Lepisosteus oculatus: one gene and its partners. The protein of the gene in region 2 interacts with the protein of the main gene of each other region in a pairwise test. Links are inferred from orthologs where the notes say so. Each region holds a gene or a part of one and is shown on either strand. Other genes may lie near its edges.

Region 1 (6,851 bases), on a different chromosome or scaffold from region 2:
CACCAGCGAGCGGTTTCTCTGGGGCCTTGATCTGAAGCGGGGGCTCCCACACTCGGCCCCACCTTGGATCACCGGCCCCTGAACCGATCCGAGACGTTTCAATGGAATATTCCGTTGCTAGTCACAAGTCTGGGATTTTATTTCACTTACAAAACACAACGGTTAAAGCTCCAGTGTGTTTAAGCGCTGGGGGGGGAGGGGGGCTGCTCAAATGAATCTTATTATTATAACGTGAGAGAGGCTGGATTGTGTAATCGAGGGCTTGGCTGGAACAAAACCCAACAGGCGTGTGGGTCACACAGGGACAGGCTTGGGAACCCCTGCCGTGGATCTGGAGTCTTCTCCCAGCGGGCAGGTCAAGAGCTCCCCAGTGAGGCAGATTAGCCCCTTAACAAGACCCAGCAAACCCGCAAGCCGCTCTTTTTTTTTGTTTTTTTTAATCGATAGAATTAAACGTTCATTTGAGGTGCAACAGCAGCTCGGCCACAGGAGGCTCCTGTTGCCACGGGCAACGGCGGACTAGACAACAAAACAGCCCCCCGGGCAGGCACGTTGCACTGGACACCGGGCCGCGAGGCGTCGGGTTACACTGCCAAAAACACGAGTGTCCGCGGGGTCAGGTCTTCATTTCGCAACTGCGCTTAGAAACTAACTCCCCCTCCTCCTCCCAGCCCCAACTACCACTGAGGGGTTGCAATTTTAAAAAGAAATGACTGAAACGCTTTTCATGTCCCACCCTTTTCACTCGCAAACCTATGCAAAGGCACGTGTTTGTGAAGTTCCCTCCATGAGCAAAGGAATAGTCCTTCTAAACGAAAGGGCAACAGTTTCCTCTCGAGTCCGATTCCCACGCCGGCTCAGAGCAGCGGTGCGCTGACCTACTTTGTCAAAGTGCTGGAGACGCGGCGGCGGTTGAACTGGCGGGGTGATGTAATCCGCCCGTTTCCCGGGAAATAGCCGGCCTTCTCCCGCCGGCACCCAGCCCAGCCCCCCTCTAACTGCACTTAGCCTACACAACCTGTCGGGACCGCGGGGTACACAAACGATTGTTAACGTGACACGGCCTGGGTGGGGGATGCATATTTACTAGCGATCAGCTGACTGTAGACCACGCGAGTATTTAAAGAGCAAACACCACGATAAACCGATTGTCAACGCCAGGGTTGTCCTACTTACTCTCGCAAGCCAAGCATGATACATGAAACGTTTGTCACACTGTCACATCTCAAATCGGTCTCTTATTCTGGGAGCACCTGACTACCCCGCACCCCACCCGTGACGGCTCCACGCTCAGACAGAACCAAGCCGACGCTTCACACGATTCGCGTCGCCTCGGGTCGCAGATAAAACTTCTAGAACTTGTTAAAAGCCCAGAGTTTCACTTCACCAAGCTCGTCTCCAATGCCTGAGCTAGAAATGTAGATTACTTTCTATTTCGTTAACTTTCGTAATCGGATTAGTATATAACAGACACGTGCTCATCTACTGTACCAAGATGTATTTTGTAATATTAAGAATTCATGTCCATGTCCGTGAATTTCAATCATTCACTAGATATGCCTACGAATTTAAGTCATACATTCAAACATTTCTGGGGCTCATACTACACAATTTAACATTTTCAGCTAAAATCGGTATTAGCTTTTACTAAATGTATTCACCGTTAAGCCACTGCACCGAATGGGCAAGACTATCAATACTGCCAGTGCGTCATCTAGCTTTTATATTTTGACAAGGAAACAAAAAACATTTATCGACACCCGCTTGCTCATGAGGGATGAAATGTTCAAGAATCGAACCCAATCCGTGGATGTTATTAACAATAACTGAAAGGAAATTATTAAAAAGCAATAACTGGACTTCCTCCACAGCAAAGACAGCTGACCACTCTTCATCCGCACGGACTCATGAATACCTTCTTAAGGTCTTTTTAAGTTTTGCAACTGGAAATAAATCCTTCTTTGCTTTCCCAGGAAAGGCAGTGGCCATACAAAGCTCTTCTTGCACCAAAACAGAAAAACGAAGAAACCAGCAATATCGGTCACAAGATCCGAGGGATGGAGTGCTTTTGCTCAACGAGGTAGATCCCAATTTCAAATGTCTGTTCAATAACAGTTTCTGAAAAGCTAGATATTAGTCGATCAACCTTTAAAAAATGGCCAATAATGTAATATTATTTCGAAAGGTCTCTCTGGCCTTTCGAAAAAACGAAACCCCGTCTCCAGTCGGCTGATTCCGCAACTGTCCCGTCCCGTCTGGCTTGTGTCATAAAGTTACCGAGGTTGTAATGAAGGTGAAAAATGCGAGAACGAAAATTTATAAGGTTTCTCTTACATGTCTTCCCCTCCCAAAGTGACGTTACCAGCTCCGTTACTTTCCTTCTTCCCTGTGCCCCCCTCCTCCTCCTAAATAACCCTCCCCACCAGCCGTCCCGTACTCGAAACTGACAAAAATACGAGCGTGGCCGCCCTCGTCGCAAACACCAACACAAACCAGGAAGTGCCCAGCCGGCAGACTTCCGCTATCGCTACCTCGGCAACAACGCTTAGCAACAAGTGGTGCCATGGTGACTGACACCCCAGACAGCCAATTGAAATCCAAGAAAGAAGCCCACGCGCCGGACTCTCCCTCTGACCGGCCAATGGAGATTGGATGGGGGCAGGCCGCTGTGGTTATGGGAGAGGGAAGTAGAGGGAGGCAATAGGAGTGAGTTATTTTCTTTAGCTGTCTGTTACAAACACAAAGCAATACATTTGGCTTCAAGCATTTTGTCTAAAACCCTTCTTTAGATGAGAAAAGCGAACCCAACACTTGACAATTTCCTGAACACCAACACGGTAACTAACACAGGCTTTTCCTTCACCATTTAGGAGTGGTAACTGAATTGTAAATCTTTTGCGTCAAAACCTCCGATACTTACAGTGTGTTGATTTTGACAGTCCGTGCTCTGGCAAGATACAAAACCGAGTCCTTGAATTCGCTATCCGCTCGTAGACGTATTTCCTTTCCTATTTAATGTCGGCTAATGTTGATATTTGTCTCGCCGTCTACTACTCAGGCCCATCGTGACTTGCAAAAAATGTTCTGCTACTACAGCTGCACGTTTTTCCCAAGGCGCATGCGTAGAATATTCCAGGCGCGCTGCAGATGACGTTTGCCGCCCCCGCCTCGTGCTGAATATTCATATTGTGCGTCAGGGAATGACGCAATACCGGAAGTCCAATGTGTTCGTCCCGCCTCTTGGAGTAGCTGTGTGATTTGTAAGTTGACAGGGTCGTCCAGGTCGTGTTTCTGGAGGATGGGTGGATGCGCAGGTTTTCCAGGTCTCTTTGAAGTAATTGTACTTGAAGAGCTGGGAGAAGCTGATCCAGTTATGCCAGATGGTTTAGTTCCTTAAGAGCGGAGTTACAATGCAAACCCACAGGCACGCCAGCCCTCACAGGGAGAAATCCGTTGTTTAATGCGGATTAAAAAGATTTACAGCCTCTAACAGTCATTTTGTTTATTAGTTAATTGTAGCTAACAGTGACTTCATTGTTATTCTCCTGGGTAAATATGTTCTTGACGTTGCTTGGAATAATCAAATAAATTTTGAAGAAGAAAATTTAAAAAAGATAACATATACTCATGGAAAATATGAGTTACTATGTCACCTTTTGTCATTTGGCCTGAGTCCCCTTTGGAGATGGGAAACGTATCCTAATGTTTGCACAAAGGAGGCTTAACCCCAACTGCTCCAGGGGTGCTGTATAAATAGCTGACCCTGCTGACCTCTGACCCCAAGCTTCTCTCCCTGTCTGTGTCTCATGGAGAGCAAGCTGGGGTCTGTGAAAAGATGACTTCCTAATGCAAGAAATTGTATATGGCTAATAAAGTGATCTTATCTTATCTTATCTAACACATTTTAATTTTCCTTTAGGTAAACATGCTGAACCTGAATGCTGTTTCATATTGGTTGGCAGGCAAGGGGAGATACACTCTCAATGTGAGACCTATCTTCTTTTTCAACAGTATCACTTCAAACATATTTAGTGTATGATCATATTGTGAAAGGGTCAGCATTGCTGCCTCACAGCGCTGGGGCCCTGGTGTCAGTTCCAGGCCCGGGCAGCTGTCTGAGTGGAGTTTGCATGCTCTCCCTGTGTTCGTGTGCATCTCTGGGTGCTCCGGTTTCCTCTCACAGTCCAAAGCCATGCTGGAAGGTTAATTGGCGGTTGGGAAAACTGGTGTGAGCGTGCCTGTGTTTGTGTCTCTGTCTGCCCTGTGATGGGTTGGCGTTCCGCCCATATTTTGGGCCCGTTGCTTGCTGGGATAGTTTGAAGACGGATGGATAATACTGTGAAGCAGACCAAAACTGAGAAGGTAAACGCAGTAAGACCGAGGCTCCGGGATCAGACGAGGGAAATCAGAGGACATGCATTCGAGACTCAGAACAGCAGGTTGCTGTACTTCTCCACACAGAAGGTTGTAGGTAGAACAAGGCACCCAGACATGTGGTTAAAGACGTCCCCCTGGGGTACCTCATGACACTGTCAGGTTCCAAACACGGGTGGTAAGTCAAAAATTCCTCCACTTGTTTGCTCCCCACTTGTTTTTATGGTCCTAAGAGGAACTACATTCTCTACCATGTGACATTAGTGACTTGTGCACTTTTAATTCTATAGGAGAAAAAGATCTGGAGCGTTTCAGTGTGAGCCTCAGGAACAGCTTGTCAAAGCCGATTTGGATTTTTCAAATGTTTTTACACTGCAAGAATTCATCCAGAGGGCTAGCCAGTAACCACCCTGTAGGAGGCATCTCTACAGTGACTGCCACGCTGGATCAACTGCAAATAAAATGAATAAATTGATCTGTATGCCTTGTTAAGTGTGTTTTGACTACAGGGATCTTAAAAATAAAATGTTACAGAACTTTGTTTTGATTTTGATTTTGTAAGAAAGGATAACATTATATATACATTTCTTTATAATTCAAGGTTTTATTTTTAATATCTGGAACATGTACAACATATCTAATATTATGCTTCAGATTCTACCACATTTCTCATCTGCATCTTTATTAAGTTTTGCTTCCTGAGCTGCGTGAAAGCAGGCGTTATCTGAGCCAGCGCTCAGAATTTTAAAGTGTCTTATTGTTAAGTGTAGGATCAGGTTATGAAGGTTTTTAAAGACTTAAAAATATCCTTCTCTCGTTAGGTGTTTCACTGAGGAATGTTGAAACTTTCCAGGCCAATATTAAGGAACGTGAACGTGTCACAACCAGAAAAAAGCAAAAAAAGCTTTCGGCTGTTATTTATTTTGCCTGTTGAAACCCTATACATTGACCCCAGATTATCATGGCTGTATCACGTAATTTTGTTCATAAATTAGAAAACCTTTAAAAAGAGGCTGTGGTGTTGCCGTTGCTAACAGGACACATTACTGTGTCCTGTTAGACCCTCTCCCGGGAATTTTATAGTGAGCCGTTAGCTGGCCTAGCACCCATGTCAAAATGCCAGGTAAATGTGTTTTCAGCGACCTCTGGTTAGCAGATGAAAAATACAAGCTATGGCTCCAAAAAGATTAAATTATGCAGGAAAAGAAGTTCTGGAAAGGTTTGGAGTTTTGTTGGTAGAAATGAGTGGGAACACTGTTAAAAAACACTGTAATGAGCCGTGTTTTTCTGCACTAGGGCTTCAAATAAACAGCCACCCAGAGCCAGGCCAAAACTGCCTAAGGTGGGTGAAATTATGTAGGAGTTATGTTCGAGTCCAGCAGCAAATCAGAAGACCAGAAAGGGCTGAGTGGGATCCCACCCCACTGAGTCAATAACATAGAGTGCTCTGAAAATAAAGACAGGAATAATGGTGCATCTGAGCTGCAAATCTCCTATCACTTCACGGAAATTATTAGGTTCAAGGGAAGGCATGGGATAACTTTCACCAAATGCACTTCTCTTAGCTACTCTGTCAGGAATAGAACAGACAGTCCCTGGATGCTTTTCAAGGCCCAGAACAAACTCGGCAACGGAAGGGAAAAGAAAGTCCGTAACCAGAGATGTTTGGCCCGTGTAGTTCACTTGCCTGCAAGTGGACAATTGATCCAAAGACCTCTCCCTGCCGTCTCCACACCCCCACAACCCTTGGTCAACGCTACTGTAAAGATGTGATCTTGAAGAGCAGCCGTTCCCAAGTAATTACGTACTGATTTTTGTCTCAGGAGATTTCCAAGGGTTATGTCTGTCAAATTAAATGAGCTGTGTGTGTAAGGAAGATAGTGCAAGTCTGGGATATGCAGAAAACTGCGCATGAATAACAAGTACAGTAGTATCTCGTCATTTCTGCGCACACTGCCCTCTGTCGGGGGCCTAAGGGAAGACCGCCGTCAGTCGGGGTTGGTCGCTGGAGGGGAGAACAGTGGAGACTATACATCACAGCACCTGGACCACAGAAGATGAGTAACAACAAGAATCGTTAGATTTCTCCTGCCTGTGTTCCTCCAGGAGGCTGAATTCAAAATCTGTAGCTAATGAAGGGAAGGTGAAACTGAATGTTACAGCTGCGTTATTTCAGCAGCTATTTCTAACCGTTCAGCTCTTTTCCTCCGACACATTTTCTCCCCCTAACACCCACTTTCCAGCTGCGCCCGTACGTTTCTAATTGATCGAACATTAGTTATTACCGCCAACACGGTTCTGCGCAATGGCTTGGGTGTTCAAATAAGAAAACTGCTCTCCAGCGTCTCGCAGGAGGCTGGCGAGGTCTTGACGAGCTATCCCAGGGTGCCGTAGTGCCTTGAATAAAATTACCAACCGCTGGAGTCGGAAAGGGGGGACGTGTGTTAAAATGCATAGTAGTACACTACGGGGTAGGC
Region 2 (7,488 bases):
GCTTGTATGTTGTTCATGTGGGTTTCTGCTCCGGGTTTCCTCCCACAGTCCACAGACATAGTGGTAATTTAATTGGCCCTTAATTGGTAGGTCAATTTCTACACAAATTGCACAGGTGTGTGTGTATTTTTATGTCTGTGTGTGCCCTATCCCTGTGATGGACCGGCCCCCTTCAAGGATGTACCCCGTCTTGTGCCTTTTGCTTCCTGGGATAGGCTCCAGCTCTGCTGCGGCCCTGAATGTGACAGAACAATTAGGACAGAAATTTGTCTTGGCCCCCCAGCCACAGGAAAAGGATGCTGGGACCCCCCCGGGAGAGAGATGAATGTGAAAAGTGGGGTCTGCTTATGATATATACAACTTTCAAGAACTGATGTTGAGAATGATTATGATTTAGAACAGCTGTGGCACAGAGTGTTGCCTTTCCTCCCATAGTTCAGTTAAGAACTCTCATTTATTAATCTTCTCTTCATCTAGTAAATAGGACATCTAAAATTGGACCTTCCAAGTCAGGACAAGCTATACAACTGCAAAGAAATGGGAGAGGAGGAATGGGCTGGCAAGTATTTCAACCAATCACCTTGTGAGTTCGATTAAGGATTCAATTAAGTAATTAAGCTTGTTTGGCATGAAAGTGAGCAGGTGTATGTAATTTATATCAGTCCTTTGAGAGCTTACAGCTGTGAAGATACAATTGTTTGGGCAGTGATCAGCACTCCAGGTCCTGAAGTGTCAAAAAAAATGTTTTTTCATTATACCTCAGCTCTTAATGGCTTGAGAAAAAATAGATTGCATAAAATAAATGAGATGTGTAATGATTCGTTAACATGAATAGGGCTTTCAAAACTTGCCAAGTCACAAATATATATACACATTTAAAAAGCCAAGTGTTTTCACGTGAAAATAAAACGTGCGTTCGTGTAATTAGCTGTTAGCGTGATCCACTCGTGTCTTAGACTGTGGGAGGCACTGGGAAATACAGTGGGCTGTCAGTGGGTCACGTAAACATGACCCAGTCCTCCCTTCTCATTTAATTTATATTAAAAGCAACATCGTTCAACATGACCTGCAACTTTCTAATTCCAATAGTTGGGCCGGATATAAGGAATCAGGTAGTGTACAGCTTCGTCATCTCTAGAAAACTGAAAAAATAAGAGGCGTGTGATTGTGTAAGACTTCTGTGTATGAAATAAGCATTGGTGTGCGGCGCATAAAGAATTTGGAAGAACAAGCATAAAAAAAAGACTTCAGTGGTTAAAAAATGGACTCGGTGCGCTGGAATATTTTTTGTTTTTCTTCTTCACAAGCGGGAGCTTTATGCACCATAACATATACCTGTAAAGGTCTAAAACTTAAGGCGATGATAGGTTATAGTGCCACGGTCAGGTTTACAAAACCAGGTCAACAAATGTTCGCGTTACAGCCAGTCTGGTGTAAGTCTTTATATTATTTAACCGTAGTCTATACAGCAAACCTGGCCTTTATTTTTAACGTCTCGCTAATATGAGTGTTGCATGTGGTTACTTATAATATTAAACAGGATAATACACAGGGTTACCTTGCAATAATGGCCTAGAATCCCCGGACTAGAGTAGAGATTTGTTACCCCACCCCGCGATACCGACTTCGCTTGAGAAAACACGCGTCCCCCGGTAAATGAAAAACACTGCTGCAAACAAGGGAACAGTGACACGCCTCGCGTTTATTTTTAATGTTCCGGTAATTAAAACCCGTCATCGAGTGTTATATTCATATGTAAGAGATATGAATCGAGACCAAGCTTAACACTGAAAAGGTGGAACACAAATTGAAAGTTTCGGTCAAAGTACAGTAATATTTTAATAACCGTTTCCTCTTTCGATGTAAAATTAACTAAACTCTGAAAACGAACGCAAAGGGTCTCTTCCATAATCTGGGACTATGGACTATGGAAAATAACTTATTTACTTATCGTGTAGATAATGGTTTTCCCACACAGAAAACATCCGATGGATGAGTTGAATGAGTTAACATACAGCAGTAAAAGCGGCTCAAATGGACCTTTAAAATATTTTAATTTGTGTCTACACCACAAAATGAGAGTGCAAATGTCTCCTCGCATCTAATAGGAGTTAATGTATAAAAACGCACGTTAGTCTGCGGTTCCAGAAGCTACTTAAATATGATCGAAGCCACTAAAGTTAACACTGTCACTTACACTTTGTTACGTAATGGTCTATTTTGTATGGGCTACACATCTAGCCGAGCCAAAACACTTTTAAGAAGGTTTGGATAAAAAAATGCACCGTTTCTTAAAGCATAGAAGCGGATCGAAAAACAAACTGCAATTATTTTTTGCATAAAATCCCTTCCCCCCCTTAGTGACTCACCTTTCCATGACCAGTTAGCGAAGAGAGAGACACTACTGATTACAAACTGTACCAGAGCGCAAACAACACTTCTCTGGACGCTACAGTACTTTAAGCAGTATAAAAAAAAGCGATCAGCCCTGTAGTTTTGTCATCCTGTTGCATAACCAACTGACAGTCACAAACACGTAAAAAAGACATCAGCGATGATGCATAGCGCTTACTATACTACATTAGAGTAATATTTCCACAGCAATGCTGTGGAATCGGTATTCATATTTTTCGTTTTTCATGCACCAAACTAAAACAGAAAAAACTCCAGTAATTAATTAGCTCACAAGCAAGTATTGCTTTGTTGATTAAGTATTCGCAGGCTCTTCTGACACCATCTGTGTTCTGCTACTGTAAGCTGTTTATCGCGGCTCGCAAAGCAAGCGTGTCTATGATGATAACATGCTTTAGTCACCGAGAACAAAAAGCCCGATACATCAGGAAAAACATTCAAATCGCAAACCGCGTTAAAAGACGCCTTCGCTCGATACAGGCGGTGGTTACTTACAGAAATCTTTTGTAGCACAAGACGTACATTTCTATCGCTGCTCAGTGTTTGCCGTGAATTTAGAGGAAAAAAGGGGGGGGCGGGCAAGAAGGGGGGGTTGAGGGAAGACGTAACTCACCATGACTAAGCATTGTACGGACCTTCTCGCTGTGCCAAAATAAGAGCCCCACCGCTAACAACTGGGGCTACCTCATGTTGGCAGAAAGGGAGAGAGACTCTTACGGAAGAGGACCAGGAAAATAATACAGAAGGAAAGGGGAAATATAGAAATGCCCTCAGCCCTGGCACTCAGCCTAGCCTGGTCCAGATTACATGAATGCAGTGCGCTATACAACTGTTCAGATCTGTCTTTGGTTGGAGAGAATAACAGCCCCTTTATGGATCAGTCATCCGTGATCGTGTGCCAAACATCTCTACCTTCCACCACGTAGTGACTGCATACGCTTTCGTTACTCTGTATTTTGTTTTTAATTCTGTGCTGCCATTATTGTATACCTGCGTCAAAACAGGAACTCCCCTTGAAGTAATTTATTGCCATTCGTATGCTGTGCCCAGCAGATGCCGTCATCGATTTGTCTTATTCAAATGGCAAAACTAACACTTTATTAAAAATACAGTGTATATATTGCTGACAGGGAGTGTTGTATTTGTCTAAGTGCGTACTGTACGTGTGACAGTTGCGGTTTTAAGACGCAAAACAGAAGATAATATTACACCAGCGGTTTTGAATGATCAATTGCGAATTACTGTCTATTCTTCTGTCTTCCGCAGTTGATCTTAGCTCGCGATCATTTAATCGAACCCCAGATTTTAGTTTCTTATCAATTGGACCTTTTTGGATTGTTTTCAGTCCTGGATATGTCAGATTTTTTTTTCATCACAAAATCTGCGAGTAACTTGAAAACATTGTCTTTGCAGGAGAAGAAAATGTCGAATATTGCTTATATTGCTGTGATGTGAGATCAGTTAAGCGATTGAAGACCAGCAGGTATTGGGTAGGGTGACACGTGACCAGAGCCGTGGACCACTGCTTTCGAGCACGCGTGTCCACTCATGGTCCTGGAAGGCTACTGAGTTTGCAGTTTTCCTGTTACTGTTCTTGTGTTGTAACTGGTGTTTTGTTTACTTTGACCGTTAAGCACTTTGAGAAGATTCTTTTAGGGCTCTATATAGGTTTATTATTATTTCATGCCCTGGAGTGCTGGATGCATCTGGGTGACACACAGTAATAATTATTAGTAATAATTGCTTACGCTTACATAGTACTTTTCTGGACACTCCACCCAAAGCGCTTTACAGGTAATGGGGATCCCCTCCACCACCACCACTGCACAGCCCCACCTGGATGATGCAACGGCAGGCATACAGCTATCAGTGGGGAGGAGAACAGAGTAATGAAGCCAGTTCATAGATGGGGATTATTAGGAGGCCATGATTGGTAAAAGCCAAGGGGAAATTCGGCCAGGATGCCAGGGTAACACCCCTACTCTTTTCGAGAAACACCCTGGGACTCTTATTGACCACAGAGAGTCAGGACCCCGGTTTTATGTCTCATCCGAAGGACAGCGCCTTTTTACAGTATAGTGTCCCTGTCACTATAGTGGGGCATTAGGACCGACATAGACTGCAGAGTGAGCGCCCCCTGCTGGCCCCACTAACACCTTAGTCATTATGTCCCAGCAGCCACGCAGCACAAATCAAATTAAGCTAGAGCTAGAATGAAGCTCTATAGATCAGGGGTCCCCAGTCCTGGTCCAGGGCACCCCCATACCTGCTGGTTTCTGTTCCACCTGCACACTCAATCAAAGTGTGCAGGTGGCTTAATAGACCCAATTATACGTTTAATTTGAACACTTCCATTGTTTTCTGTTCATAAACATGTTGTAAGTTGCCTTTCAGCTATTCTGTTTTGTAAGTAACTTAAGATCCACCTTTAGTCAGAAAAAAAAACCCATGCCAAGCAATTGGTTCAAATCGGGGTTGACCTGTGAGGGTCCCCAAGACTAAGACTGGGAATCCCCGCTAAAGACACAGTGGTCCCCCTGGGTTTGAGACTGGACTCCTCTGCTTTAGAGCTAAGGCTGTGACATGCTGACACAGGGGTGGGCATAATCTTCAGTGATGCAGCCCGTTCCTGGCAAGGATTCTGGGATTGCCAAGGGCTCAGACATATGAAGTGACACACGCTTGCATTTAAGCGTCTTTTAAAAATGGCCTCCAGAATGCAATTTTTTTTTTTTTGGAAGACGGTCTGATCACGTTAAATAATGTGTGGGTCCGGAGAATTAGAGAGAGGAATTCCGGGATGTACAGAAGCTTTAACTGAATCGTTGATTGATTTCATTCATTTTCATAACAGTCTGCTATTGAAGGGTTGTAGTTATAATAATAATTGCTCACACTTATATAGCGCTTTTCTGGGCACTCCACTCAAAGCGCTTTACAGGTAATGGGGACTCCCCTCCACCACCACCGATGTGCAGCATCCACCTGTTCACCATATAACCTGCAGGGCAGTGACTGCAGAGGAGGTACAGACCAGGCCAGATCAGAACAGACCCTGTCTTGTCAGTAGTGGAGTGTGTAGGAATAGGTAACGCTGTGTGGAAAATCTCCCTTTTGAGTTACTTACACTTATATAGCACTTTCTGGACCCTCCACTCCAAGCACGTTTTAGGTAATGGGGACCATAGCGCACCGGTACACTCACCACACACCAGCTATCATTGGGGAGGAGAGCAGAGTGATGAAGCCAGTTCATAGATGGGGATTATTAGGAGGCCATGATTGGTAAAGGCCAATGGGAATTTTGGCCAGGACACCAAGATAACACCCCTACTCTTCTCGAGAAACACCCTGGGACCACAGAGAGTCAGGACCTCGGTTTGCGTCTCATCCAAAGGACAGTGCCTTTCTACAGTATAGTGTCCCCATCACTATACTAGGGCATCAGGACCCACATATCCGGGATAGCCAGCAGAGGAATCCTACTCCGTTGGGCTCCTGAGCAAGACCCTTAACCCAAGCTGCTCCAGGGGCACCGTACAAATGGCTGACCCTGCGCTCTGACCCCAACCTTCTCTCCCTGTCTGTGTGTCTCATGTAGAGCAAGTTGGGTATGCGAAAAGATAAATTCCTAATGCAAGAAATTGTATATGGCCAATAAAGTGACCTTATAGACCACAGGGTGAGCGCCCCCTACTGCCCCCCCTAACACCTCTTTCAGGAACAACCTTAGCTTTCCCAGGAGTCTGCCATCCGGGTGCTGACCAGGCTCACACCTGCTGAGTTTCAGTGGGTTGCAGGGTGATATGGCTGCTGGCGAGTTGAAACAGGAATGTATCGGGCCTTTGGGATTTTGTGTTATGGAGTCCCAGATTCAGGATCCAGTATCTGTCCTAAATCTCTGGTCTGTGGGAAGGTAGCCTCTGGCCTGTTCCTGGATAAAAACAATCATGAGTGAAACGTGACTGGAATTATCTCTTTGACTTCCAGGGTCGATGTTACCTATGGTAAGCCTCCATAGGAGTACAGACAGTATTTATACATGGCCATCAGGCTTTCTTACCTGTTGCTCCGCGTCTACGCCAACGCTTCCTGCAAATTTATGTATCTTACTAAAAACGGCTGGTTTTAAAAAGAGTCGCCTGCAATTCTAGCGTCTACTTGTAGAAAAAAGGATGCCCACAAGGCGTCACTAGTGCGCCATGTGTTTCCGTTTATGAAATGTCTACAAATGTTTTTTTTTTTAATTTGCAAGAACCGTTCAATCGTTTTGAGTTTAATGACACGATCTACAATTCACAATCACAAAGACCGCTTCCTATGACAGGCTGACCTGTTATAGAGTGATTTTTCCAGCTTGTCCTCAAGAAATGTCATTTGCCGTGTTTTGCGTAGGGTAAGAGGGTGGCGGGGTGGTGCAGAGGTTAGCACTGCTGCCTCCCGGCACTACAGCCCTGGGGTCTTGGGTTCAATTCTGGACCTGGGGTGCTGTCTGTGTGGAATTTGAATGTTCTCCCCCATTCACGTGGGTGTCCTGAAGGCGCTCCAGTAGGTTAATTGGCTTCAGGGAAGATTGGTCCTGGTGTGAGTGTGTGTCTGTGTCTGTGTGTGCCCTGCGATGGACTGCTGTCCCAGTCTGGGGTGTATCCCGCCTTGTGCCTCTTGCTTCCCAGGACAGGCGCTGGGCCACCTTAACCCTGAGTTGGATGAAATGGTTAGAAAATGGGTGGGTGAATGGGGAAAGAACATGGACAACTGGAGATTTTGAAAGCGGCCTGGAAGTCTGGGGTTGCGATAGGAGGGGCCAACAGTTGTGATATTTGAGGTTTGTTTTAAAGTCATGTGTTGCCCATTTGTGTAATGAGTCGTCTTTGCTACACCTCCCTCTCCTGCTGCCCATTCTGAGGGCCCACCATAACTTAGTTCGTGGGTTTGGTCTTGGACTACCTAGGCTTGATTTATCCAGGTGAATCCCTTATACATCTGGCAATTTGTAAACAGAACCTGGACCCAGAGAGCTATATAGCTCAGGTGAACTGTGCGATTAAAATCTCGAGCTTCAGGAGCGGAGCCTTT
Region 3 (7,309 bases), on a different chromosome or scaffold from region 2:
TGGACACACCCACTGCAGACACACTGACCCCTCCTGGACCAGGACTGGACACCCCCACTGCAGACACACTGACCCCTCCTGGACCAGGACTGGACAGCCCCGCTGCAGACACACTGACCCCTCCTGGAACAGGACTGGACACCCCCGCTGCAGACACACTGACCCCTCCTGGACCAGGACTGGACAGCCCTGCTCCAGACACACTGACCCCTCCTGGACCAGGACCGGACAGCCCTGCTGCAGACACAGCGCCCCCTCCTGGACCAGGACTGGACACCCCCGCTGCAGACACACTGACCCTTCCTTGACCAGGACTGGTCACCCCATTATTCATGGGGGATCCCAATACTCTGGCCAGAGGGGGTGTGAAGAGCCGCACCGCCGAGACAGGCTCACCTGGAACTCCTCGGGGGTCAGCCCCGCGGCCGTGGCCACGCCCTCCAGCTCGGCGGGGGGCTGGCGGCGCAGGAGCCGCTGCAGCAGCACGTAGACGGGGGTGGACTCGGGCGAGGTCTGCAGCAGCACGGCCAGGCCGCCGTACCAGGCGGCCCGGGACACGTAGTGGGCGTACAGCTGCTCCCTGGGCGACAGCAGCCGGAAGGCCTCGGCGCAGTCCAGCGCCGCGATCCCGACGTCGTTGGGGAGGTAGTACTGGGAGTCCACCATCTCCGGGCCCCGGCTCAGACGCGGACAGCGAGCTCTGCGGGGCGGCGAGAGAGAGAGAGAGAGAGAGCGCCGGGACGTGAGCCGGGCGGCAGCGGCAGAGGAGGCGCGCGACTGGGGGGGGGCAGTGCCGGAGCCTGTCCCAGCAAGCACTGGGCCGGACAGGACGGCCAGTGCTTTGACGGTCCCCCTGGTCTAATGAGACATAACCTGAACCGCCAGACTGGCTATCCCCCTGTTGTAACAGGACTGGACCTGAACCACCGGACCGGCTGTCCCCCTGGTGTAACAGGACCGGACCTGAACCGCCGGACCGGCTGTCCCCCTGTTGTGACAGGACTGGACCTGACCCGCCGGACCGGCTGTCCCCCTGTTGTGACAGGACCGGACCTGAACCGCCGGACCGGCTGTCCCCCTGGTGTGACAGGACCGGACCTGACCCACAGGACCGGCTGTCCCCCTGGTGTAACAGGACTGGACCTGACCCGCCGGACCGGCTGTCCCCCTGGTGTAACAGGACCGGACCTGAACCGCCGGACCGGCTGTCCCCCTGGTGTGACAGGACCGGACCTGAACCACCGGACCAGCTGTCCTCCTGGTCTAACAAGACCAGACCTGAACTACTGAACCAGCTGTTGGGGCAGCTTGCTCCACACCCCCGCCGCCCTTTGTGTAAAGCAGCCCCCCCCGTCATCACTGGGCAGATCTCACCCCGCTGCTTCCTGAAAGCGTCCTGGGAGTGCGTTTCCGTGTGTGTGTGTGTCCGTGTCCGTGTCCGTGTAGGCGGGCGTGTTTTTTACGGGGTTGGGCGGAGCCCCAGAAACGACACCAAACGCTCGCCAAGACAGCCTTTGGACTTTGCAGTCCCATATAAAACCGACTAGCCTTGGGGACACACCCAACACGCCCAGCAGGGGGCGCAGGACTGCCCTATCAAACAAACACTCCGGCCCGGACTGCGGGCAGCTGCCCTAAACCAGGTACACGACGGGTCTCCACCAGGGGAGTCCGTGATCGCCACACAGTACTGCCCTCAGAGGGCAATTTTTAAAAAGTCCGCCAGGGGTCCCCACTCCTGGTCCAGGAGGGGACGCTGCGTCTGCGGGGTTCCTAGTTCTCTTAGAAACAGCAGCGCCTGAACGGCTGTTTAAGTGGTCCAATTAAAGCCGTTAACGAGCCGACGCAGGTCGTTAAGGGGACTGAAAACCTGCAGGCCACACAGCAGCCCCGCACGACCCAGACTGGGGAGCCCCCAAATAAATTAATTGGAAGGGTCAAGCCTAACAGTATTGTAGATACTGGTATTTTAAACACCCCTACATGGGGTTAGTGATTTCTGCAGTGTTAACCTGAGAGACAGATCACACTCCCACTGCACAGCAATCTGATCCGCTCCAGGTCTTACTCGTTCCTGTTGTACTCATCGTAGGAAAGGGCCGCATTTAAAGACGGGCAAGTCTGCGCACTATGAGCAGACAGACTCTACGTAGACCCAGCACTGCGCGGCTGCCCTGCCTGCGCAAAGCCCGGACTGGATCATCCTGCTACACAGCAGGAGCGCAGCGCCGACTTCTCCGCGGACTGCATCACATATCCCAGACGGGTAGGGAAGGTGTGATTTGTTCAACGGCTAGCAGAGCTAACTGGCGGACGTATCCAGACAGACGGGTTCGGGTCCAGTCCGGACGTCCGAGAACTCGCCAGAACGGAGCCGAGCCGTACCGTTTAGGGCTGGGGAAATGTCACGGTGACACGTTTTTTTCTGTTTGTAGAAAAGTGGAGAAGTAAAAAATCACAACCCCTCCATCGCCAAGTCATGAGATGATTCCCGAGAAATCCCCGGAAAGCGGTCTCGGGTGTGAGCTGCGCTCTCCGGCCCCGGACCGCCAAGTCAGAACCGAGCCGCCAGCCCGGGAGCCGGGCAGCGACAACTGGTCTGTCGCCACTGAAATCGCGACATGAGCCGCACAGAAAGGAAGAAAACAACTACACGGATACGGCAGGGTGCGACTTGTGTGCAGGAGGGGCACAGCGAATCGAAATGAGAATAAATGAAATATTAACGGAGAGGAGCCGAGGCTAAAGTTCACAAAACAGAAGAGATTTTCGTCTCCCCCCCAGAGCTTTCCGGGACGCTCTTGTTTTGACTTTTCGGCTAACGGGAAACGCGTTTTTGTAAAAAAAAAAAAAAAATATAGATATATTTATATAAAACCCACGAACCGATACCGCTCACCTAGATATATTCACAGTGGTTCAACGAGAGTCTTCCCCGCTCGCACCGTCGCTACCCGCAGGCACTTCCGGTTCTCATTCATTGCCCGGCGAGGAGGGCTTCCGGGTTGTCACAGGCGACAGCCGCCTCGACCAATCAGAGCGGAGAACCGCGCCTGCGTCTGGAACCCGATCGGCGCGCCGGTTGCCCAATCACCGTTTGGAAGGACGTCCCGCCTCCCCACTGAGTTCTTAAAGGGAATGCTCCGTTCGTCCGATTTCTTTTTTTTTCTGCACCCTTTAAACATTATAAATTCTATTAAAAGTTCGGCCGGGAGAGACGACCTGGTTTGTCAGCTATCGAGTACACACAAATAAGCGCGAGTGTGGGACGAGATAAACCGCACATTCGCGGTGTCCGTTAACTGTGCTCTGCACCTGCGTGCAATACCAGTACGAGACACTAGACGGCAGCTGTTGATCTTCTAAAGAGCAGCAGCCCGTTTTCAGCGTCTCTAGTTGTTCTCCGCTCTTGCGTTGGGCACTGGGGGGTCGTGGGTTCGACCCTGGGGTGGGAGACCCTGCTGCTGTACCGCTGAACAGTGTACAGGACCCCAGATTGACTGGGGTATCATCTTGGAGAGCACTAGACCCTGGGGATCCCCAGGACCAGGGCTGGAGACCCCTGATTTAGAAACCTGTAATTTGACTGCAGGCTTATTTTTGCATAGGCTTCTATGGGTTCAGGGTTCACATCACTCATTACTTTAGCATGCGTTTACCCTGATCTCACTGGGCTTTACTGTGCTTTTACCCCGATCTCACTGGGCTCTACTGCGCTGTACTGTGCTTTTACCCCGATCTCACTGGGCTCTACTGCGGTGTACTGTGCTTTTACCCCGATCTCACAGGGCTCTACTGTGCTGTACTGTGCTTTTACCCCGATCTCACAGGGCTCTACTGCGCCGTACTGTGCTTTTACCCTGATCTCACCGGGCTCTACTGCGCTGTACTGTGCTTTTACCCTGATCTCACTGGGCTCTGCTGCACTGTACTGTGCTTTTACCCCGATCTCACTGGGCTCTACTGCGCTGTAGTGTGCTTTTACCCTGATCTCACTGGGCTCTGCTGCACTGTACTGTGCTTTTACCCCGATCTCAGTGGGCTCTGCTGCGCTGTACTGTGCTTTTACCCCGATCTCACTGGGCTCTACTGCACTGTACTGTGCTTTTACCCTGATCTCACCGGGCTCTACTGCGCTGTACTGTGCTTTTACCCTGATCTCACTGGGCTCTGCTGCACTGTACTGTGCTTTTACCCCGATCTCACTGGGCTCTGCTGCGCTGTACTGTGCTTTTACCCCGATCTCACAGGGCTCTACTGCGCCGTACTGTGCTTTTACCCTGATCTCACCGGGCTCTACTGCGCTGTACTGTGCTTTTACCCTGATCTCACTGGGCTCTGCTGCACTGTACTGTGCTTTTACCCCGATCTCACTGGGCTCTGCTGCGCTGTACTGTGCTTTTACCCCGATCTCACAGGGCTCTACTGCGCCGTACTGTGCTTTTACCCTGATCTCACCGGGCTCTACTGCGCTGTACTGTGCTTTTACCCTGATCTCACTGGGCTCTGCTGCACTGTACTGTGCTTTTACCCTGATCTCACTGGGCTCTGCTGCACTGTGCTGTGCTTTTACCCTGATCTCACTGGGCTCTACTGTGCTATACTGTGCTTTTACCCTGATATCACTGGGCTCTACTGCGCTGTACTGTGCTTTTACCCCGATCTCACTGGGCTCTGCTGCACTGTGCTGTGCTTTTACCCTGATCTCACTGGGCTCTACTGTGCTATACTGTGCTTTTACCCTGATCTCACTGGGCTCTACTGCGCTGTACTGTGCTTTTACCCCGATCTCACTGGGCTCTGCTGCGCTGTACTGTGCTTTTACCCCGATCTCCCTGGGCTCTTCTGCGCTGTACTGTGCTTTTACCCCGATCTCACTGGGCTCTACTACGCTGGACTGTGCTTTTACCCCGATCTCACTGGGCTGTACTGCGCTGGACTGTGCTTTTACCCCGATCTCACTGGGCTGTACTGCGCTGGACTGTGCTTTTACCCCGATCTTACTGGGCTCTACTGCACTGTACTGTGCTTTTAGCCCGATCTCACTGGGCTCTACTGCATTGTACTGTGCTTTTAGCCCGATCTCACTGGGCTCTACTGCATTGTACTGTGCTTTTACCCCGATCTCACTGGGCTCTGCTAGTTTTCCTCTGTCTTTTCCTGCACTGCCCCCCTCTCTGGGCCCGTCTGTTTCTCAGGAAGCCCGTCTGTCCCTCCTGCCCTCACTCTCCCTCTGCCCTTGCTCGGTGCTGTGTTCACGCTCCATTAACGTCCTAATCCTACCTCCCCTGGGGCCGAACAGGCCTCTCTGGGCTTCCCTAAACAGGAAACGGCCTGATTGCGTTATTAAGCCTGGGTCTAGGACCGCCCGATCCCGCCTTTCATCCCCCCCGCCACTCATTCCCAGCGCCTGGGCTGGCCAGATCGCCAGCGGAGATAAACAGGGGTCACCCCTCCGTGCCCGAGCCCCTCCAGGCGCCCTGGCAGCGCGCTCTGAAGTCGGATCACGCCCCCCCGCCGCCGCGCGCCCGCAGAGAAAAACACGACATGCCGGTGTTACCTTTCGCGGGGCGGGGCCCTATCGGCGAAGGTGTGTGAAGCCCGCGCCACACTGAAATGCTTCCCCCCACCTCCTCCCCGGCCCGCAACGTCAGTTCCCGCCCCTGGTGTGAAAAAGCAAGACCCGAGCCAGCTCAGGGAAGGGGAAGGTCGGGGATGCCGTGCCGGGGGACCTCGTTAAAGGGGCGCTAACGAGGGCTGTCGACAGCGTGGGCGTTTCAGGCAGCAGGGCCCGTGTGCCAGCGTGCAGTCAGCAGGAAACGGGACCGGGGGGATGTTTTGACTGCGCTGGGGAGGGGGCCGTGATTAGAGAGCGCCGTGCCCTCTCTCTCTGGGCCCCACGGTCCAGAAGCCAGGGCTCGGGGGAAACCATTACCAGGGACAGGGTGGCACTGGGGGGGATAAACACCCATCCCTTCTGGGCCCGGGTCATCCATCATCCCCTGTCACAGCATTCCGGCCCGGACAACAAGGCCCAGGACAGGAATCGCGGAGAAAGGCTTTTATTTCTCATTCCGCAGTCTCAAGCCTGTCCCGGGCTGGGCCGGCCCACGCTGCAGAACTTGGTGCGGCCGGGTTGTGGGTTGTGGACCGCACTGGGGCGGGTCACACTGCAGGGCACTGGACCGGACTGGTCCGAATGGAGACCTAGGCTGTTCAACACAGAGGTCACAACGGGCGAGAGGGGTCTGGAATTAGACTGGGATGACCTGCGTCAGTCCGGAGAGGTGTGGGCTGGACCGGACCGAGTCAGACTGAGATCTAGGGAACAGCGTAGTGGGCTGAACCGGGTTTGATTTGGCCCAGACTGGACTGCACGGGACCGCGATGGAGTGGAATGGGCTAGGTCAGATTGGACCGGTGCACAGGACTGTTGGGTTAGAGTGCACTAGAAGAGACTAGAAGTGCCTGCCCATCCACACCCGAAGAAGGCTCCACAGCCGAAACGTTGTGTTTCCTTTCATCGCTCTTCTGCGGGGAATAAACCTGCACTTGTTCCTTTGCAGCCAGCTCCCCTCCTGAACTACTTGAATTATTATCCTGATTGATTACTGATCAAACCTTTAGTTGAACAGCAAGACTCATAGGAGGTTATTCCCACCCCTCTCTGTTCCTCGTTAACTAGTTGCCAATTAAGACCAGACAGGAAGTACACGAGGAACAGGAGGCCTCGCACCCACAACCGCCATTAACGGGACTCAGACCCGGCCTTCCTGGTCATGCACTGTGGCACAGCACAGACAAGGCTGGTTAAACCCACAGCACATCTGTGGAAAAAACACAGTAAAACAACCCACAGAGTGTGATACATTCACTATGGTAAACTGTCAGAAGGCTGGACTGTCCCAGACTGGACTGGACTGGACTGGACCAATCCATACTGAGCCAGACTGGAACGGACTGGACTGAGCCAGACTGGACTGGACTGGACTGAACTGAGCTATACTGAGCCAGACTGGACTGGACTGACCAGCAGTGAAAAAGAACAGGCTGGACTGTGGGAAGAGCCAGACTGGACTGGACTGGACTGGACCGAGCCACACTGAGCCAGACTGGACTGGACTGAACTGGCAGTGAGAACGGACTCGGCTGAGCCAGACTGGACTGGACTGACCGGCAAGTGAGGGAGAACGGGCTGAACTGTGGAATGAGCCAGAAGGGACTGGACTGGAGTGGACCGAGCCATACTGAGCCAGACTGGACTGGACTGGACTGGACCGAGCCATACTGAGCCAGACTGGACTGGACT

Evidence for each region. The genes of interacting proteins can lie anywhere in the genome.
Region 1: the proteins of keap1b (region 2) and nfe2l1b interact in binary tests that used the Homo sapiens proteins (3 or more experiments, as listed by UniProt). The link is inferred for Lepisosteus oculatus from reciprocal best matches to the Homo sapiens genes KEAP1 and NFE2L1.
Region 3: the proteins of keap1b (region 2) and dpp3 interact in binary tests that used the Homo sapiens proteins (3 or more experiments, as listed by UniProt). The two-hybrid records come from large-scale screens. The link is inferred for Lepisosteus oculatus from reciprocal best matches to the Homo sapiens genes KEAP1 and DPP3.

Annotation. Positions count from the first base shown.
Region 1 is NC_090723.1:8,969,051-8,975,901, reverse strand, and holds the start of nfe2l1b (endoplasmic reticulum membrane sensor NFE2L1b), read right to left. Parts: upstream 3,010-6,851; 5' UTR 2,921-3,009; intron 2,838-2,920; exon of another isoform or gene 2,715-2,837; intron 2,502-2,714; exon of another isoform or gene 2,335-2,501; intron 2,329-2,334; exon of another isoform or gene 1,916-2,328; intron 984-1,915; exon of another isoform or gene 883-983; intron 1-882.
Region 2 is NC_090706.1:16,416,604-16,424,091, reverse strand, and holds the start of keap1b (kelch-like ECH-associated protein 1B), read right to left. Parts: upstream 3,015-7,488; 5' UTR 2,908-3,014; intron 2,475-2,907; exon of another isoform or gene 2,370-2,474; intron 1,113-2,369; exon of another isoform or gene 1,069-1,112; intron 1-1,068. UniProt on the Homo sapiens protein: Substrate-specific adapter of a BCR (BTB-CUL3-RBX1) E3 ubiquitin ligase complex that regulates the response to oxidative stress by targeting NFE2L2/NRF2 for ubiquitination.
Region 3 is NC_090713.1:22,419,040-22,426,348, reverse strand, and holds the start of dpp3 (dipeptidyl peptidase 3), read right to left. Parts: upstream 3,010-7,309; 5' UTR 2,900-3,009; intron 701-2,899; 5' UTR 667-700; coding exon 397-666; intron 1-396. UniProt on the Homo sapiens protein: Cleaves and degrades bioactive peptides, including angiotensin, Leu-enkephalin and Met-enkephalin. Also cleaves Arg-Arg-beta-naphthylamide (in vitro).